Linked DNA regions of Macaca fascicularis. The protein of the gene in region 1 purifies or fractionates together with the protein of each later gene. This does not show direct contact. Links are inferred from orthologs where the notes say so. Each region holds a gene or a part of one and is shown in the gene's direction. Other genes may lie near its edges.

What was found.
Region 2: the proteins of POLR3D (region 1) and POLR3GL purify together in Homo sapiens (co-immunoprecipitation; 4 studies listed by BioGRID and IntAct, counting the BioPlex papers as one, with this or other methods). This does not show direct contact. The link is inferred for Macaca fascicularis from reciprocal best matches to the Homo sapiens genes POLR3D and POLR3GL.

The regions. Positions count from the first base shown.
Region 1 is NC_088382.1:25,316,104-25,320,413, forward strand, and holds the start of POLR3D (DNA-directed RNA polymerase III subunit RPC4), read left to right. Parts: upstream 1-1,256; 5' UTR 1,257-1,341; exon of another isoform or gene 1,342-1,378; intron 1,379-1,604; 5' UTR 1,605-1,609; coding exon 1,610-1,774; intron 1,775-3,373; coding exon 3,374-3,417; intron 3,418-4,002; coding exon 4,003-4,154; intron 4,155-4,298; coding exon 4,299-4,310. UniProt on the Homo sapiens protein: DNA-dependent RNA polymerase catalyzes the transcription of DNA into RNA using the four ribonucleoside triphosphates as substrates.
Region 2 is NC_088375.1:113,441,522-113,444,965, reverse strand, and holds the end of POLR3GL (DNA-directed RNA polymerase III subunit RPC7-like), read left to right. Parts: intron 1-959; coding exon 960-1,028; intron 1,029-1,370; coding exon 1,371-1,427; intron 1,428-1,664; coding exon 1,665-1,738; intron 1,739-1,869; coding exon 1,870-1,983; intron 1,984-2,268; coding exon 2,269-2,355; 3' UTR 2,356-2,720; downstream 2,721-3,444. UniProt on the Homo sapiens protein: DNA-dependent RNA polymerase catalyzes the transcription of DNA into RNA using the four ribonucleoside triphosphates as substrates. Specific peripheric component of RNA polymerase III which synthesizes small RNAs, such as 5S rRNA and tRNAs.

The DNA.
Region 1 (4,310 bases):
AGAAACAATCAGGGAAATACTTAAATCATGATACAGCCACTGGAGAACTATGCAGTCTTTGATGCCGTAACAGAGAAATGTTATTTGAAAAAGCAGGATACAGGCCAGGCGCAGTGGCTGACGCCTGTAACCCCAGCACATTGGGAGGCCGAGGCGGGTGGCATCACTCGAGCTCAGGAGTTCAAGACCAGTGTGAGCAACACAGTGAAATCCCGTCTCTACCAAAAATACAAAAAAAAAAAAAAAAGAAAAAAGAAAAAGAAAAAGAAAAAAGAAAAAAAAAATTAGCCGGGCGTGGTGGCATGTATTTAGAGTCCCAGCTACTTGGGAGGCTGAGGTGGGAGCATGGCTTGAGGCTGGGAGGCAGAGGTTGCAGTATGCAGAAACCTCGCCTCAAAAAAAGAAAAGAAAAAGGATACGAAATTGTGATACAACTCTGTGAAGACTACTAGACACATTACAAAATTTTTAATAGTAGTACTCTACGTGGCATTCTGGTAGAAACGATTTCCTTTCCTCAAACTCCCCGTAATAATGTTTTTATACGGTCTGGGGGGATGGGAGATAACATTAAACGACACTTTTTATATCACAAACGCTGGAGTCAATAAAAGTTCTTTAAATTCCTCCAGCAGTAGAGCAAACTTGGTATTCCGATTCTGTCCAGGCTTTGACCAAGAGCGCACCCGAGGGCCACCGCCTTCGTGATCCCAAGCGGGTGTGACTGGGCACCAGTTGGTCCACTGCGGCTGTTCCAACGCTGCCCTCACAGCCTCACCCCAGGACTCCACCAGGAGCACAGGGAAGGGGTCCCCGAGAGTGGGCGAGGTCGCTGCCCGGAGGTAGTGACCACTCCAAGGTCACCATGGAGAACCCGCAGACAGGGCTCGGCACGGCCCAAGACTCCCCGACTCTAAGTCCAGGTCTCGCTCTCTGTGCCGCGCCCCTCGTCCCATCCCGAGCAGCTACCCCCAAGCTCCCAGGGGCTCCGCCGAGGCGAAGCCTCACATTGCGGCTTGGCGGCCGACAAGACCCGCGACCCTGATCTCGGCACCTCCACGCCACCGCCCGGGGGCCAAGACCCCCGAGCACCGCCACATAGCGTAGCCCAGACCGGTTCCCTCATCCTTTTTCGCCCTCTCAACCCAGCTTTTCCCGACTCCGGGAAGAACCGGGAAGAGAAGGCGGAGGGGAGCGAAGCGCCGCCTGATAAATACTGTGGCCCAGTCCCGCCCCCGAAACGTCACATCCGGCCCGTGCCAAGATGGCAGCGCCCAGGCGGTGCCACGCAGACTTCCGCCCGGTGCGGAGACCTAAAGCTGGCAGCGGGTCGCGTCGCAGGTGAAGTGGTGACGCGCGGTGTGGAGCCGCGGCCCGGGTGCGTCCCTGCCTGGTTCCTGGGCGGGGTTCCTGGAGAGAGGGCGTGTCGCGAGCCAAAGGCTCTCACCTGGGTGGTCCCGGGAATCTCGCCACGTGGGAGGGGAGGAGCTGAGAGGCCACTGGAGGGACGCACCGACTGGGGGACCGGAAAGCAAGGGGGTTGGGTTCCGCCAGGGTCCGCGTGTCAGTCCACTCTGGTAATCTCGTCCCCCCTTCTCTCCCAGGCAACATGTCGGAAGGAAACGCCGCCGGCGAGCCCAGCACTCCGGGAGGGCCCCGACCCCTCCTGACTGGGGCCCGGGGGCTCATCGGGCGGCGGCCGGCGCCTCCCCTCACCCCCGGCCGCCTTCCCTCCATCCGTTCCAGGGACCTCACCCTCGGGGGAGTCAAGAAGGTATCCAACGGCGCGTTTCTAAAGAAACTCAACTACCTTGAATTCCAAGCCCCGGCATTCAACTGATGTTTGTGTAGGGCCTACTATGTGTCAGGAGTGTCGTTGGGCCTCAAGCCTACCCCTCTTTAAATTCTAGGGAGCCTGTCCTATCTTCAAATCTAGGTACTGAGTACAAAATGTTGAAATGAGTCCCAGAGGTGGTTGAAAGACAGAGAATCCTAATAAGTTAAAGTCGTTCAAAAGTAATTTGAACAGTGTTTATTTACTCTTATTGTGTGTTTGGACATTTTTAAGAAACCCATGAAAGCCAGGCAGGCATAAACTTCACAGTCTTAGAGCGTTCAGAATTCACCATCTCAGTGTGCAAACTTGTTATCTAGAGTATCATGAATCCTAGGCATGGCATTCGAGGCTCTGTGGGCTGTCCCATGTGTATATGACTGTGGATGTCAAGAGTAGCCCAGAAAGGGGTGGTGTCAGGATGACAGAAGAATAAAGCAGGTTTTTGGGTTTTTTTTTTGAGACGAAGTCTCGCCCTAGTCCCCCAAACTGGAGTGTAATGGCATGATCTTGGCTCACTGCAACCTCTGCCTCCCGGGTTTGAGTGATTCTCCTGCCTCAGCCTCCTGAGTAGCTGGGATTACAGGTGCCCGCCACCATGTCCAGCTGATTTTTGTATTTTTAGTAGACACAAGGTTTCACCATGTTGGCCAGGCTGTTCTTGAACCCCTGACCTTGTGATCCACCCACCTCGGCCTCCCAAAGTGCTGGGATTACAGGCGTGAGCCACCGCTCCCGGCCAAATAAAGCAGTTTTTTTTGTTTGTTTGTTTTGTTTTTAACAGAGTCTCTTTCTGTCGCCCAGGCTGTAGCACAGAGGCACCATCTCAGCTCACTGCAACCTCCACCTCCTGGGGTTCAAGCGATTCTCCTCCCTCAGCCTCCCGAGTAGCTGGGATTACAGAGGCCTGCCACCGCACCTGGCTAATTTTTGTAGTTTTTAGTAGAGACGGGGTTTCACCATCTTGGCCAGGCTGATCTTGAACTCCTGACCTCATGATCCACCTGCCTTGGCCTCCCAAAGTGCTGCGATTACAGGCGTGAGCCACCACGCCTGGACATAAAGCAGTCTTTAGAAACCTAACTTTGCCTTGGAAAATATGGAAAAACACTGCCAACAGTGATTGAGAGTATTGGCAGATCTGTGGCCTTCCCTACTTAGGCCTTGCTGCTAGAGATGTTCCCCCATGATACTGACTGGTCTCTATAGCAGTTTGAAGATAAGAGGTGAGACCAGAGAAATTCCTTTGCTTTTAGAAGTCCCAGAGGACCTTCTTTCAGGATCTTCTTTCCTAAGGCTGCTGGTTAAAAATGGTTTTTGGTGCCCCTTTCTTCTATGCATAACTCCACTGCCACCACACCATGACGTTCCTCCTTTTCAGGCACACGTGTATCTAGAAAACTGACAGCACTGTGGAATGTGCCAAAGAGAGTCATGGTGGCCGTGGTCTGTAGAAGATGCCCGTTGGGAGTTTTTATTTTCCTCTGTACTTTGGGATCAGGACCTAACACATCAGTGACTCCTGTATTTTGCTTTCAGAAAACCTTCACCCCAAATATCATCAGTCGGAAGATCAAGGAAGAGTAAGTAGCTAGTCCTTCTGAATACTTGCCCCTTATTTACTTGCTCTGAATTTGGGGCTTTGGGGAGAAATAAGTAGGTTTGTGGCTCCAAAATTTAAATTTATATCTTTAGTTCTTTTCACTAGTGATTTTCAACCCTGGCTCCTAGGTGATTCTAATGTTTAAGCTTTAAAAAAAAAAAATACTGGTGTCTAGGGTTCCATCTCTAGAAATTGTGATTTAACTTGTTGGCAGTAGAATGGAGTGATTCTCTTTGATGGCCCGAGTTGAGAGCCAATAGTTTAAACAAAGATGTATCACGCTTTCCCTGAAGTTCCTTTGCATTTCTGCCTTCCTGCTTTCAGTCCCAATGCAAACAAAAATCTACATTTTTGGACAAGAACGTAAAGTAAAGCAAACTGAAAAAATCCTGCCTCATCAAGGAAGTGAGAAAAGTGCTAGAATTAGGATTGGATTCTGCTTCTCATGGTGTAATTATTGGCTCAAACTCTCCGCTGTCTTGGAGTGAAGTGGTATGGGAGAGTAAGGCCAGTTTTTGGAGACACAGTGAGTGAGTGGTTTCCCTTAATCCATTCTTTTTTCCAGGCCCAAGGAAGAAGTAACTGTCAAGAAGGAGAAGCGTGAAAGGGACAGAGACCGACAGCGAGAGGGGCATGGACGAGGACGAGGCCGCCCAGAAGTGATCCAGTCTCACTCCATCTTTGAGCAGGGCCCAGCCGAAATGATGAAGAAAAAAGGTACAAGGAAGGAATCAGTGAATTTCAGTTCAGACTGCCCAAGAGAAGGGCGAGAGCAGTGGAATTTCCCCGCTCCCAGTTCAGTTTTCCTTGCTGTTGGCATCTTCCTTATTGATCCCTAGTGACCTGGGTGATTTCCCACAGGGAACTGGGATA
Region 2 (3,444 bases), on another chromosome or scaffold:
CTCAGGAGGCTGAGGCACGAGAATTGCTTGAACCTGGGAGGTGGAGGTTGCAGTGAGCTGAGATCTCGCCACTGTACTCTAGCCTGGATGACACAACAAGGCTCTGCCTCAAAAAAAACAAAAACAAAAACAAACCAAAACAAAAAAACACTGGCCAGGTGTGGTGGCTCACACCTATAATCCCAGCACTTTGGGAGGCTGAGGTGGGCAGATCACGAGGTCAGGAGTTCGAGACCATCTTGGCCAACATAGTGAAATCCTGTCTGTACAAAAAAAAAAAAATACAAAAAATTAGCCAGGCCTGGTGGCAGGTGCCTGTAATCCCAGCTACTTGGGAAGCTGAGGCAAGGAGAATTGCTTGAATCTGGGAAGTGGAAGTTGAAGTGGACCGAGATTGCGCCACCGCACTCCAACCCTGGGCGACAGTGTGAGACTCCATCTGGAAAAAAAAAAAAAAATCATAATTTTAGGTGGAAAAGAAACAGGTTAGAAGAGTGATAAGGGGCCGGGCGCCGTGGCTCACGCCTGTAATCCCAGCACTTTGGGAGGGCGAGTTGGGTGGATCACGAGGTCAGGAGATTGAGACCATCCTGGCCAACATGGTGAAACCCTGTCTCTACTAAAAATACAAAAATTAGCTGGGCGTGGTGATGTGCGCCTGTAGTCCCAGCTACTCAGGAGGCTGAAGCAGGAGAATCACTTGAACCTGGGAGGTGGAGGTTGCAGTAAGCTGAGATTGCACCACTGCACTCCAGCCTGAGCGACAGAGCAGGACTCTGTCTCAAAAAAAAAAAAAAGAAAAAAAAAAAAGAGATAAGGTCCTCACTGAAGCTGAGCCCCTGGGCTCTGAGTTTGGGGTAAGGAAACAGATAATTCCTGAGTATTGAGAGGGCTGGACTCTCAGGAACAGTCCTGTTCTGGGTCTCAAGGGATAAAACTTTGACTCTTCCACCCCTCAGATGTGGAGCGTTATTCAGACAAATACCAGATGTCAGGTCCGATTGACAATGCCATCGATTGGAACCCTGGTAGGTGATGGGCTCGTTCATTGACTGCCTTTCTTTCAAATGCATGAGATGCTTCAAGCCATTTCCGCCACGCCCATGTCCCCACCCCATTCCCTGATCCAGCATCTGCAAGCTAGAGCCTTAGTTATGTTCCAAAACACTCTCAGATTTTACCTGGAAAAGCTATTAAATAGTTCCCACTACTCAGGAGATATCTAAGCCACAGTTTTGTTCTGAACAACTTTGACCCAGCCCCTTCCTTCCTCTCCTTTAAAACCCTCAATCCCCCCTTTAAAACCAGTCATTATTCACTGGAGAGCCCAGGCAGGGTCCTATTGACATTTACATTCTCACTATTCCCAGATTGGCGGCGTCTACCCCGGGAGCTAAAGATCCGAGTGCGGAAGCTACAGAAGGAACGTAAGTGTATCTGGAAAAAGGAGGGAGAAGAGAGGTTTCCTTCATCAGCCTGAGGGCCAAGGCTGCTGCTGGTCTCACTTTCCATCCCAGTTCCTATACCCAATCTACCAAGTGTTGTTGCTAGATGTCATAGTGGCCACATGAGGGCAGCAGAGTGACATGTTCTTTGCATGAGGATGGGCTATAAAGCTGGCAAAATTTGCTCTCTGATGGTTCACCTTTTGATCCCCCCACCAGGGATTACAATTCTGCTCCCCAAGAGGCCCCCTAAGACCACAGAAGATAAGGAGGAAACAATACAGAAACTAGAGGTGAGGAGGAAGTGTGCATAGAGACCTTCTGAGCCCTGGATCCATTCCCTCTCTCTTGACCCATGTGTGCCTCAATTTTTCCCTTCTGTGAACTGAACCTGAATTTCTATTCCTATTCATCCCCACATGAGACCCTGGAGAAGAAGGAAGAAGAAGTAACTTCAGAGGAGGATGAGGAGAAGGAAGAAGAAGAAGAGAAGGAAGAGGAGGAAGAAGAAGAGTATGATGAAGAAGAACATGAAGAGGTGAAGGGGACTCCTTCCACCTTAGTCCCCCTCCCTTTACCCCAGAAACTCTGGGGATCTCAACTCTTTATACTAGGGATGCTTTCCTCAGAGGGTTGGCATGCCAACAGAGATAGTGCCCCCCAGGGTAGGGGCTTCCCTCTACTCCCTCTGCCCACTTCTCCAAACTACAGCTGGAAGAGCTGTCTCAGGCCTGGAATGGTGTGACTGGGAGGAGAGGGGTCTGGTACACAGGAAGGAAGGTGAATGCCAAATTGACTTTTACTTTTTTTTTTTCCATTTCAGGAAACTGATTACATCATGTCATATTTTGACAATGGAGAGGACTTTGGGGGTGACAGTGATGACAATATGGACGAGGCTATATACTGAAGAACGTCTCTGGACCCTTGTGTCTTTCTTGAGGCTACAGAGAGTAACTGTCCCTGTTATTTGTTTTTTTGGACAAGCAAATCATTTGGTCAGAGTTCACATAACCTCTCTGGTCCCTGGAGATGGGAATGGAGGATGATGACAGTTTATTTTCTACGCTTCCCCTCCTTCCACGTTTGTATCACCTCTGCTATCTGAAGGGAGAAAGGAGAATTGAAAGAAGAACTGGGGTTGTTAGAGCTGAGATAACTGTACACGTACCCCTGCCCAATTTGTATAGCTCTTTGTGGAGATAATTAAGGATGGGAGCAGTTTGAAGGAGTAAGCCTGGTTTTATACTTTTAAATAAAGTGTTTTTATCTGTCTCTGTTGTGGGTGAGGCCTGGTGATAGAGGGCTGGAGGAATGAAGGAAATGATTAACTAAGCAGGGTGCTGTGATACACTGGAGGGTTACAGCCCGCTTGTCCTTTGTCCCTTCCCTTCTACCCCCATGGTGGGATACATATTCACAATCTAGCCCCGCCAAGGAATATTCAAGGCCTCATCTGTAGGGCAACGCAGAGTAAGTTGTAGAGAAGAACAGTCTGTGCCCCTTGCAGACCAGCTGACTTCTGAGCCTCTGGTCATCAGGCCACAAGGACATGATTGTGTCTGTTCACACATGTTCACAAGGACACAGACCCTGTCTTTCCCACACTTGACCTTGGTCTTGTCCTTATTCACAAAAAATGGTTACAGCAATTTTTGTGGGAAAAGTCAAGAAAACCAGGTATGAGGAGGGAGGAGGAGCTGACTTATCCACCATACTCCCTCCTCTTCCAGACCCTGGAGATGCCACTTTGAAAGGTATATCTGTGCAGAGTGAGCCCCCCTAAATATCCTATTCTCCAGTTACAGAAACCAGTGTGTGACTGAGTTGCAGTTTCTCTTTTGGTTCTTCCCTTTGTGGAATTTAGTTAGCCTTTCTCACTCCCTTTCTTTGGGGGAAGGGAGGTAGGCGGTGTTATTTTACAGGAAGTAAAGAGGGTGGGGAGGAAGGGAGTGACTTAGGGACACTCACAGATCTGAGAGATGCTTTCTCGCCCACA